3 linked regions of the Drosophila melanogaster genome follow. The protein of the gene in region 1 interacts with the protein of each later gene in a pairwise test. Each region holds a gene or a part of one and is shown on either strand. Other genes may lie near its edges. The genes, in order: CG13407, CG17782 and Cyp9b2.

Evidence for each region.
Region 2: the proteins of CG13407 (region 1) and CG17782 interact in a two-hybrid assay, tested with the Drosophila melanogaster proteins (one large-scale study listed by BioGRID).
Region 3: the proteins of CG13407 (region 1) and Cyp9b2 interact in a two-hybrid assay, tested with the Drosophila melanogaster proteins (one large-scale study listed by BioGRID).

What each region holds. Positions count from the first base shown.
Region 1 is NT_033777.3:22,101,362-22,105,116, forward strand, and holds the start of CG13407 (uncharacterized protein), read left to right. Parts: upstream 1-2,052; coding exon 2,053-2,141; intron 2,142-2,708; coding exon 2,709-2,894; intron 2,895-3,169; coding exon 3,170-3,755.
Region 2 is NT_033777.3:24,371,037-24,374,791, forward strand, and holds the start of CG17782 (uncharacterized protein), read right to left. Parts: upstream 1,727-3,755; 5' UTR 1,701-1,726; coding exon 1,367-1,700; intron 1,145-1,366; coding exon 613-1,144; intron 482-612; coding exon 161-481; intron 1-160. Other genes in the region: CG17781 (uncharacterized protein), read right to left, coding at 2,455-2,728, 2,794-2,982, 3,048-3,755.
Region 3 is NT_033778.4:7,130,492-7,134,246, reverse strand, and holds the start of Cyp9b2 (cytochrome P450 9b2), read left to right. Parts: upstream 1-2,107; 5' UTR 2,108-2,157; coding exon 2,158-2,363; intron 2,364-2,427; coding exon 2,428-2,935; intron 2,936-3,007; coding exon 3,008-3,644; intron 3,645-3,704; coding exon 3,705-3,755. UniProt on the Drosophila melanogaster protein: May be involved in the metabolism of insect hormones and in the breakdown of synthetic insecticides.

The sequences.
Region 1 (3,755 bases):
CGTTCAACAACTCAAAGGGAAAAACTTTCGTTGGCACTTGGCTTAAATGCCTCATTTTCCAGTCATTAAATTTCGCTGGGCGCTCTTGCTGACCAATTTCGGTGGCCATAAAATCTTATAAAAATGTTGGTGGCAAATGTTCGGCTACTAGTTAACTACAATATGTCCGAGTCAACTTGTTATTGACTCTCTGTCTCGGTCCTGGGAGGGCTTTGAAATATGTTGACAATGGCGCCAGCAACAAAAGCTAAATATAAATACCCAATCCACAAAAAAAAAAAAAAAAAAAACAGCCCCCCATTTATGTTCTCAAATTTTCAACCCCGCAAGGCAATTGACTTTTCGATATGCTTCCCTTTTTTTTGGAAGAATCAGCAAAAGTCCTCTAGTTTCTTTTCCATAGTTTTTTGCCCAACATTTCCTGTGGGCCAAATTTTTGGGGGTTGGGGCAGCGCGACAAATCAAAGCGTTACAAAGCTGGAAAATGTGTGGAAAAGTTGCAGTGCAATTTATTATATGCTTTTGATTCTGCAAATCTAGCTGATGTTGTTCTTTCTTTTTTGTTTTGCTCCACGTTGTCGCTAGCACTGCGGAAATGTTAAATATTTGTTATTGCAGTCTAATGTTTCCGCTTTACGAAAGACAACAGACAGGGATTTTTCGAGACTGTGCTATGTTTGTGATCGAAGAGTTGTATACTTCTTGTTTAAAAGTAGTATATATATTACAATTAAATATAGTTAGAAAAAGTTAGTGGAAGATCAGAGCACTTGTAGTGTGTGATAACTGATATAAGCAGCACTAATATACCCCATAAAATTCAATTCAATATAAAAATCTTTTCTGGCAATGAAAACTATTAGCCCCAGTCATAAATCTTTAAGACCAAAGGCGTGGATGTGGAGAAGTGGAAGTGGACCCCAACCAAAAGCCGGGTTCGACTAACCGCACAAGGGACCACAAGAACCGAGCTCCATTTGGCTGCACAGACGACAGTGGCAAAGTCTGGGCCAGACATGGCACAATTATGACAATTTCTGATGCATAACGCTGCATCCATAGAGCTTTTAATGCAATAAACAAGCGACTGGAGCGTCATTAACACTGACAGGAATCGGTAAGGGTAGGGAGTAGGAGGAGTGTAGGGGGGGGGGGGTTGATGCCAAGGAGCATTCCCGGCCTTTTGTCGCTCACTAATTGTCTGGCCTGGCCGAAATGTGCAGCGCATGCATGCAACGCAACGCTCCAATTCAGGTGTGTGTCAGTTGGCCGTTGTCGCCACAAAACACTTTGCCGGCAATTGTCAGCTGGCTTTTGGGTACGTGTTACGAACAGTGATGGGAAATGGAAATACTTTCTCCACGGAGTACAAAATTAAATTAAGATACTAAAGATTACCTTTCCTGAAATTCAATAAAGAAGCAATATAGCAAAGTGGATAAAGTAAGGAGCTCTCGTTTAGAATCTATAACTTCTTCTTTTAATAAGTGAGTTACTATGTTTTTTGTAATTTTTGTACTTGTACCTAGTTTAAGTATTGGTACAAATGCTTTGCTCGAGCCGTACCTGCCAACACTGCCATTGAGTAGTTGTTTTAAGGCCGTTGCAGTTGCAAGTTGCTAGTTGTAGCCAAACTCACTTAGCAGCTGACAATGACAGTCGCCTGCCTCTCTTCTTTCCCGCATCACCAGCAACACCACTATCAGCACCACCACGATTACCACCCACTTCAAGTTCACCTGCGTTAATAGCCGCCTGCCAGGCAAGTGTCTGGGAAAGGCTTTGCCCAGTTGCCTAAACGACATTGTCACTTGCGGTTGGTTGGGCGCATCATCTCCTGCTGCTTCAGCCCCAAACTCCAGTTCGTCGTGCTCGTCCTGTTAGTCCTGATCGTCCTGTTTGCGGCTTCTGCAGTCGAGTTGCCATCGGTTTATGGCAGGTTGAGCACCAGCGACAATGAGCCACGCTGGTGCACCGTGTAGTGATAAACATGCGCGCTTTTCGGCACAAATCAATTAGCAATTGAATTTGGTGAACTCAAAGACGGTGAAAATGTCCGACGGCCAAATGACAAATCAACTCAACGTGCAACAGCAGGAACAACATCCGCTGCTTTCAGCCATCTCAGGAAATAATTATGCGTAAGCCATGGTCAAAGGCATTGGGATGTCGACTGTATTTGCCATACAGCCAAATCAAATTAAATTTGATATAATTAAGAAGTGGCACACTCACTCAGTTCCCTAGAATTATATTGTTAATCTGAACTCGCTTAAGTGCTTTTTATATATTTATCAAGAAGTCCTGCTAAACAACATCGTAAATAATGAATTAATTCTTTTTCAGTCATTGATATATGCAAAACTTAAACGCTTTAACAAACTTCTTTCTTCTATCCTACGTAATATTAATAATCGCTTAAAGGAGCCTTGAAAGAGTTTAGTCAGTTGCAACAGGATAAAGTGTGCTCTTTGGCTTAAAGATTAAGTGCTGGAGTGCCGGAGGCAACTGCAATCGCAAACGACCCCTGGCCCAAAAGACAGCCACTGCGGGCGCGGACTGATACCTCAGGCACTTAGCCGGGCTAATGTGGGACACAAACAGAAGCGGCGTCTCGGCCACACAACCACATGCCCAACCCCCCCCCCCCCCCACTCACTCATCCGCTTGCCCGCTTTCACCACTCACCTTCTAACCTTCTCTTGCAGTCAAACGCAGCGTGTGCATTACTATCCCAACCACTACTACCCGAGCCACTACTTGCCGGGCCATTACCACCAAGGACACCAAGGATACCAGGGGCAGCAGGGACGACCACCGCTCCTGGCGGCCGCCAGCAGCCACAACGGTGCTTATGCGGCCACGGCGGCTGGCAGCGGACACTCCGGCTACGGGTAAGCAAAGAACCACCGCTGCACTGAGAGAAAAGCAATGGGATGAACAAGAAAATTCATTCCAAATATACAAAGAAATTAAACTGTTATGAAAAAATATAAATAACTATTTGAAGATGAATATATACTTAATAATATTGATACTAATGAATACTAAAGTTTCGAACTTATCAACCTAAATTACCTATTTCTTCCTGTGCACTGGCCATCAAAGTCAAACCATAACCCCAATTCCAGTGCAAGTTCCGCATCTAATGCCAGTTTGAATTTTGCAGCGGCATAGAGCCATCCGTGGAGTACGAGCTGCAGCATGACCCACCCTCGGGTAGCTTCTCCTCCTTTCATCCCAGTAGTGCGGGCAGTGGGCCCGCATATCCATCTGCCCACCATCCGCCGGCTGGTCCACCACCGGCTCCTCCGCCCACCAAATCGTCAAAGAAATCGAAGAAGAGCAGCGGTTCGGTGATGAACGCACTAACGCTGCTCTCGTTCTTCTTCTTTGTTAACATGCTGCAGAACTGCCTGAAGGATCATATGGCTGACATGAATCCCACCGTGATGGTGCTCACAGCCAGCGGCACTCGCAATCGTTTCAACAAATTAGCCGAGATGAATTCACGCGAACAGACCTCGACAACGGCCACCGAATCGGTAACGGCATCGGCAGCGGCATCATCTTGGAATCATCAGGCTGCTTTAGTTCCGGCCGTCGAGCCAAGTGTGCCGCCCTCCATTGTTACGCCCACGGTGGTGCTGCAATCGCCCTACAGCCGTCACACGGAGATGGCCAATAAGCCGCCCCAACGCCAGCCAATGGAGTACCAGTCGAACCCTCAGCAAAATCATCACGATTATCGGCCC
Region 2 (3,755 bases), 2.3 Mb from region 1:
GTCGTTTAGCACGCTAATTAGTGGATAAGTACTTCTCAACTAAAATCCCTGATGAGTCTACCTAAAACTTGTATCTGAACTTTAAGGTATCTCAATGAAATAGAAGAAGAAGAAAGAGTACATCTAGAAGGACCGATGCCTTACTTAGAGTCCTACTTACTTGTCCAGATACTTCTCGATTCGCTCGTACAAGGACTGTCTGCTTCTGCGATGGTGCTTGATCTGGAGTTGCTCCAGGCGGCTCATCTTGTCCTCATGCTCAGTGGCCACTCCACTGCGTCGCTGGCGTTTATGTGGATTGGCTGCATCCGGAATGCTGCGCTTGCCAAACACCGGATATATGCGATGATGTCGAGGAGCTGGCCTTCGAGTGGGTCGACTGGTGGTGGGTGCGCTGGTGGTGGTGGTACTGTCCTGTCGTCGCTGCGCCGCTGGCGGTGCTGCCTGTTGACTTTTGTAGCCGTAGTATCTATCTTTGAGTCTGCAAATGAAATAGATAATTAATTAAAATATGAACATGCATAAGGTAAAACTATAAAGGACTGAATACTAAAGCTAACCTTTTAGAAGGATGAAGATTAATAACCTCCTAAGTATGTACAATAGTTTTACCTTGAGTTTAAAGCCCAGTAGGGATAGCGTGAGTTCTGGGCGTGAGAGTAGGGTCTCGTCCACTTGGCGAATGGATTGCTGGAGCTGGAGCTGACCCCGGGCCGACTGTAGTAATAGTGATTGTCCTTCCGCCTGCCCCCCTTTGGACGTGAGGAGTAATAACTATCCGCATATCGATGCGACGGATGCATCGGAGGGCGGAAAACGGGCGAAAGGCTGTAGTAGGAGTTGCTGCCACTCGAGGAGGAGGAGGAGGAGGAGGAGCCGTAACTCGACAAATTGATGTAGTTGGGCTTGTAGTCCGCCGGCCTGCTCGTCGTGGTCGTCGTGGCATCTGCATCCACATCCACATAGGTTATGTTCGACACTGTGTCGTTGCGACTGATGTCTATTGTGCCGTCCTCCAACTTGGTCAGCAGATCGTCCAGCTCCTCGCTGGGCGGCTTGCTGGGCAGCTCCCAGGCCAGGGCCACCGTAATGCCCAGAATCAAGTAGTTCGTGTGGTCCACCACTCCCACAATCTCATCGTACACTAAACGGATGAAGAGGGAGGGGTAATTGAGGCATGTGATTTGCATTATGTGGCACAGTGGCATAGTTAGGGGTAATAATAGACAAGGTTTAAAGTCACAATCTTTGTAAATATTTTAGATTTATAAAGATTGAGATTTATTTTTATACTGCAATTGCGACACCCCCTATTCAATGTAAAATGCCCTTTAACTGCGTCACTGTCCCGTGACTGAGGACTTACCCATCTGAAAGGAGCTGCCTTCCGGAAATACCAAATAACGTCGTTTCCGGGACAACAGCTCCTGGCTGGCTGACTGGTTGTTCTGGTAGGATGCGGACGCAGACTCATTCAGCCTCATCTCGATGAGCTGCTCCAGGCTGCTGTCGTCCGCATTGTTTATGCTCAGTGATGGCTGGCTCCCGGTTGCCAACTGGATGGATTCCCCGGTCTTCAGTGCGTCGACCAAGTTGGCCACGATGAGAAGCGTCAGGATGGTCGGCCAGCAATTACCTATCGGGGAATTTCCCTTCTCGATGGCATTGGAGCAGCTCCCCATCTTTTTCCGTGTCGACATTTTTTCAACCTGCTGTCGAAGCGTTGTCCATGCGGCAACTGTTGGCCAAGTATCGCGATGCTGGCCCAAACCGACAAAGAGAGGCAGCAACAGAAGCGTTCTTGGCCAAAAGTTGGCTGTTAATTGTGAGTAGTGGTGGTGGCCAAGCAGCTTTCCCTCCAGAAAGTTTCCAGTTTGAGTTTGAGCTCCGCTCGTTAAATTTCTTTTGCCCTCCTCCTTTGTCTTTCATTAGTTTTCACACTTTTCGTCTTTTGTGCTTTGCCAAGTAGTTTGTCTTGCAGAGCTGCTTCCATTGCCATCGCCTTTTGCTCCGTGTGCTCATTGGTCTATTTAGAGGTTCAAATTACTTTTTCACGCTCCCAACTTTTGGTTTATTCGTTCCATCCCGAAAGTAGCACACTTCCATCTTATTCCGATAGTGCTGCAGAGTGGAAGTTGAAGTAATGTGATCACTAGCCTCCGTTTTTCCGGTGATAAACTCAAATGCTCGCCTTCGACTCGGGAGATGCTTTTAGCTGCAAGTGAAGAAACTTCCAAATGACTTTTGTGCAATCTTTTCTTTACAATATCCGACTAGCTTTCTGGGTGGGTTGTCAATACAAACTATAAGATATATTAAATAGCTCGTTAATCCCCAAAGTTATTCAAACACTGATTTCTACTGTAGTGCCCATTAATTTTTGTACATATAATATTGATTAAAACTCAATAGCAGCATTCACATAATTCCCAGACTTTTATTGTGTTTTTATGTTCAATCCAACCAGAACGTGTGATTACAGTCACCGTAGATTTGCCGACAGTTGCCCTTCTGCCGATGTGCCTCCAGATAATTAGGGGAAATCATTAGCTCAAGTTCCTCCAGCTCCTCCACGTCATCGCTGCTGGGCAATTGAAAGATGGCCGAGAGTATTTCCATTATAAAGCTTTGTGGCCTGACCGCATTCGTCCCTCGAAGGACATGCTGTTGCCTTTGGGAGGACTCGCAGAGTGCGCGGAGCACACAGGAGGTACCATTTAGTCGTCGCCTGGAGGATTACACGTTTATTACACCACTGAGCGAAATAATTTATAGTAGGCGTCTTAAACTCACGACTTGTACAGGCGTTCGATTTTGCCAAAGAGCAGCTGCCTCGAGCTGAGATGCTGCTGCAGGTGGAGTCGCTCGAAGTGGGCATCCTGATCAAGACTGCGTCGCCTCCTCCGCCGAGCGAAAACGGGATATATGTGATGTTTGGGTGGTGCTCGTAGCACTTCTCGGGGTCGCTGGGAGTAGGCATAGCTGCGAAATATTATTTTTAAAATAATATTTTAACTTAAATATGTATATTTTTTAGGTTTACTTACTCCCACTTCGAGGGGCCCCATATGCGCTGTTTTTCTCGCCAGTTCTGCTGCACTCGCTGTCCATTTCGTGTCCACCAGTTGTCAGCGCCCGTCGTCTTCACCCTTTGCTGCCACTCAGCGGGCGACTGTCGCGCATGCCAATTAGCAGGAATCGCCGCCTGGCTCTGCTGTCCATTTGCATTTGCATCCGCATTCGCATTTGCATTTGCATATGGGTAAGCGGCCGGGATGCGCTGGATATTCGTGTAATACGAGTGGGAGTCATGCTCATTGGCCGCATATGCCGGTGGATTCGCCGGCGGTGCGTGCACTGCCTGCCAATTAGCCGTGTCTGCTCCTCGATTGTCCAGTTCCAGGTTCTGCGAGTGGGTTAGGGGCTGGGATGGAGGGTCAGGTTCTGGATCGGGTACGCTGCCGTTCCGGCGGACAGTGCCGATGGTGCCGTCGTTGATGCGCGTGAGCACGTTTTCAATCAGCTCGCTGGGCGGCTTACTGGGCAGCTCCCAGGCCACGGAGCAGGTGATGCCCAGGATGGCGTAGTTGGTGTAGTCTATGATGGGTATGATGATGTCGAACACCAGCTGAAAGGACGAGCCCTCGGGGAAGAGCAGGTAGCGTTTCTGGCGATGCAGTCGCAACATCGCATCCCTTCCAGATTCAAGTGGGCCAGCGGGAGCAGGAGCAGGTGTGATGACCACTGTGTGCGAG
Region 3 (3,755 bases), on another chromosome or scaffold:
AAAGCCATCAAATCAAAGAAAGTGCAACAATGTGTGATCCCAAATCGGGAGCCCTTCCCCGATTTTGGGTATCCTTTCAACGTTTAATATCTCATCAAGTGTTACGCTTTACGACTACTTAAAACCCCATAAAAAACGAAACAAAATAAAACTGTGGCAAGGCGGCACAGGCAACTGAATCCGAAACAAAATCAACGCCCAAAGCCGTAAATTTCCCTCCGTCGGTTTCAGACGGGTTTTCCGAGGAAAGCTGCTGAAAGGAAAGCGAAAGGAAATGCAAAAAGCGAAAAAGCACAGCAGCATAGCTACGAGAGAAGCGACAGCAGCAGATTTAATGATGCAGCATGATTTGCGCATAAAAAGAAGCGAAATAGAATGGACTGAAATGGTATAGAAGGGCGGGCGGGGGCGTGGCAGCAGGCATTATAGCCTGACAGACATCAGCAACTGCTGGGCAACTGCTTTGATAAAATGCAGCTCTCCCGTCCACAATCACTTACATCCTCGCAGGCTGTACATATATGTTTGGACACATATATCCTAACACTTTAGTCGCGCATAAAATGCCAAAGGACCTTCATGTGCGACACAGCAGTGGGTTTCAGGGAGCTGCTCAGTTTTCCGAGCATGTATGTATGTATGTATGTATGCTCATATGTGTATGCGGGATTTCGAGTGCATGCGTGCTCCAAAGGGTTGAATAAACCCAGGCGAACTCGGAAAAGCTAGTGGATCCCAGAAAAGGATCAGAGAAACGTGAATTCAATACATTTTCTGAACAACATACAGGCAAAGTGAGCGCCACAGGAAATGAAAGTATAGAATATAATATAGCAGGTTTTCTAGTCATAAAGAAGTTTAGGAAGTATTCACATAAATCCAACCCAGATATGGATCAGCAAAATATACAAAAAATATGAGTTTTCCGTGTAAAAACTAATGAATTTTCCTAACTTCTCTATACATGAATAGCCGCATGCACTTTCTTCTTCGAGCCCTTCAATAAATATTTTATTTGGCAACGATATGGCAACAAAAGTTTCTAAGCCCGACAAAAGAGAAGCAGAAACTAAAACAAAACTTAGCTCGGTAACACAACCGTCTAAATATTTAATTATATTTCTCCCATTGCGCTTGCGGCTAAATTGGTGTTTTAACCGTTTGCTCGTTATTATGCTTTTGTTGGTGGCCCCAGCACTCCGTCAATATGTTAAATATTCAAACTGCGAGCCCCAAAATCAACAAAACTATGAGTCAAACCCGTCTTCGGCCAGGTTTACATCACATCCAGTGTGTGTGACATGACAAACTGGAGTTCTAGTGAGGTGACATAAGCACTGGGCGATGGGGAAAGCGAACAGAGCTTCATCAGCTGAAATTATCCAGGCAACGGACAAGGCCGATTACTTTTCGAACACATTATCGCTTTTCGTTCTTTGTTGGTAACTCGATGAATGCTTTAGCCTGATTTCATCAGCCAGTCCCAAATCAAGCACTCTTATCGGCAATGGAGAGTGCCGTTTGACAACAGTGCAAATGGGCAATGAAATACAATAAGTGAATATCGAAATACTTTCCCTTGCTATCACATTTTCTTTCTATTTTGGTTTGCCAGGCTTTCTGCGTCTTTTGCATTTATTTTCTACTATATCATATATATTTATTCTTAATCTTACTGCATTTGTGATACTCAGAATCTAGAGTATTATATATATCGAAGAAATGTGCAATCATTACAAATGCTACTTTACTCACATTTTGTTGCTCTGTGTTATTATTCGTTGTCACTGATTGGATTGCCGTGTATATACGCTATTGATTAGACCTTTGGAGAGAAGAGAGCATTTAAACCACTCGCGTTTGAAGTACTCGTTGATAGCACCAAATATAAACAATGGGTGCGAAGCACAAATGTTTGCTGTAGTCTCACCGCTCGCAAAGATTTTTCACTGAGAGCGGGCTAAGAGATAAGCGTTCTATCTAGCAAAAAAACCTGGCTGAATAAAGCTTGAAACCTGTCGAGAGCGTACATACTTTTCTTACCATATTCATACACACATATATTTGATAGCGGCGTGTATAAATTGGTGCGTCGGGTAATTGTGAAAATCAGTTTGCAGCGTACTGAACAGGTGGTGAAACGGATCTAGCCCAGAAATGGCACTCATCGAAATTTGTCTGGCCCTTGTGGTCATCGGTTATCTCATCTACAAATGGAGCACGGCCACCTTCAAAACCTTTGAGGAAAGGAAGCTCTACTTCGAAAAGCCATATCCCTTTGTGGGTAATATGGCTGCAGCGGCCTTGCAGAAGTCGTCCTTCCAGAGACAACTCACCGAGTTCTACGAACGCACTCGTCAACAGTGAGTAGTTATGCGCCTGACTTCCAGTTGTTCAAACGCTAACAGACTGCTTATCTGAATGCAGCAAACTGGTGGGCTTCTTCAATATGCGCACACCTATGATCACGCTAAACGACCCGGAGCTGATCAAAAAGGTCTGCGTAAAGGACTTTGACCACTTCCCCAACCACCAGCCCTTCATCACCTCCAACGATCGCCTGTTCAACGACATGCTCAGCGTGATGAGGGACCAGCGGTGGAAGCACATGAGAAACACCCTCACTCCGGTCTTCACGGCGGCCAAAATGCGCAACATGTTCACCCTGATGAACGAGAGCTTCGCGGAGTGCCTGCAGCACCTGGACAGCTCTTCGAAAACGCTTCCCGGCAGAAAGGGCTTTGAGGTGGACATGAAGGTGATGTGCAACAAGCTCTCCAACGACATCATCGCCACTACCGCATTCGGGCTAAAGGTTAACTCGTACGACAACCCGAAAAATGAGTTCTACGAGATCGGGCAGTCGCTGGTTTTCTCCCGAGGACTTCAGTTCTTCAAGTTCATGCTGTCCACCTTGGTGCCAAAGCTTTTCAGTGTAAGTTTATTAATATTTGATGTGCACTGAATAGATTATATATTCGAGATGTTGTCCTTTTGTTGTCCTCAGCTTTTGAAGCTTACTATTTTCGACTCCGCCAAGGTTGATTACTTTGCTCGCTTGGTGGTGGAAGCCATGCAGTACCGCGAGAAGCACAATATCACCAGGCCCGACATGATCCAGCTCCTGATGGAGGCCAAGAATGAGTCGGAGGATAAATGGACGGACGATGAGATCGTGGCCCAGTGCTTCATTTTCTTCTTCGCCGCCTTCGAAAACAACTCCAATCTGATCTGCACCACAACCTACGAACTGCTTTACAATCCCGACGTCCAGGAGCGTTTATACGAGGAGATAGTCGAGACCAAGAAAGCTCTGAACGGTGCACCACTCACTTACGACGCCGTGCAGAAGATGACCTACATGGACATGGTCATCTCCGAGTCCCTTCGAAAGTGGACTCTAGCCGCCGCCACCGATCGCCTGTGCTCCAAGGACTACACGCTCACGGATGATGATGGCACCAAGCTGTTCGACTTCAAGGTAGGCGACCGAATCAACATTCCCATTTCCGGGTTGCACTTGGATGACCGCTACTTCCCGGAACCCAGAAAGTTTGACCCGGATCGATTTAGCGAAGAGCGAAAGGGTGACATGGTGCCCTACACCTACTTGCCATTCGGCGTGGGACCTAGGAATTGCATAGGTCAGTTAATAAAAGTGTTACGATAAGGAGGACAGTTTAAATCATACAATTTCTTTGTAGGAAATCGATATGCCTTGATGCAGGTCAAGGGTATGCTCTTCAACCTACTGC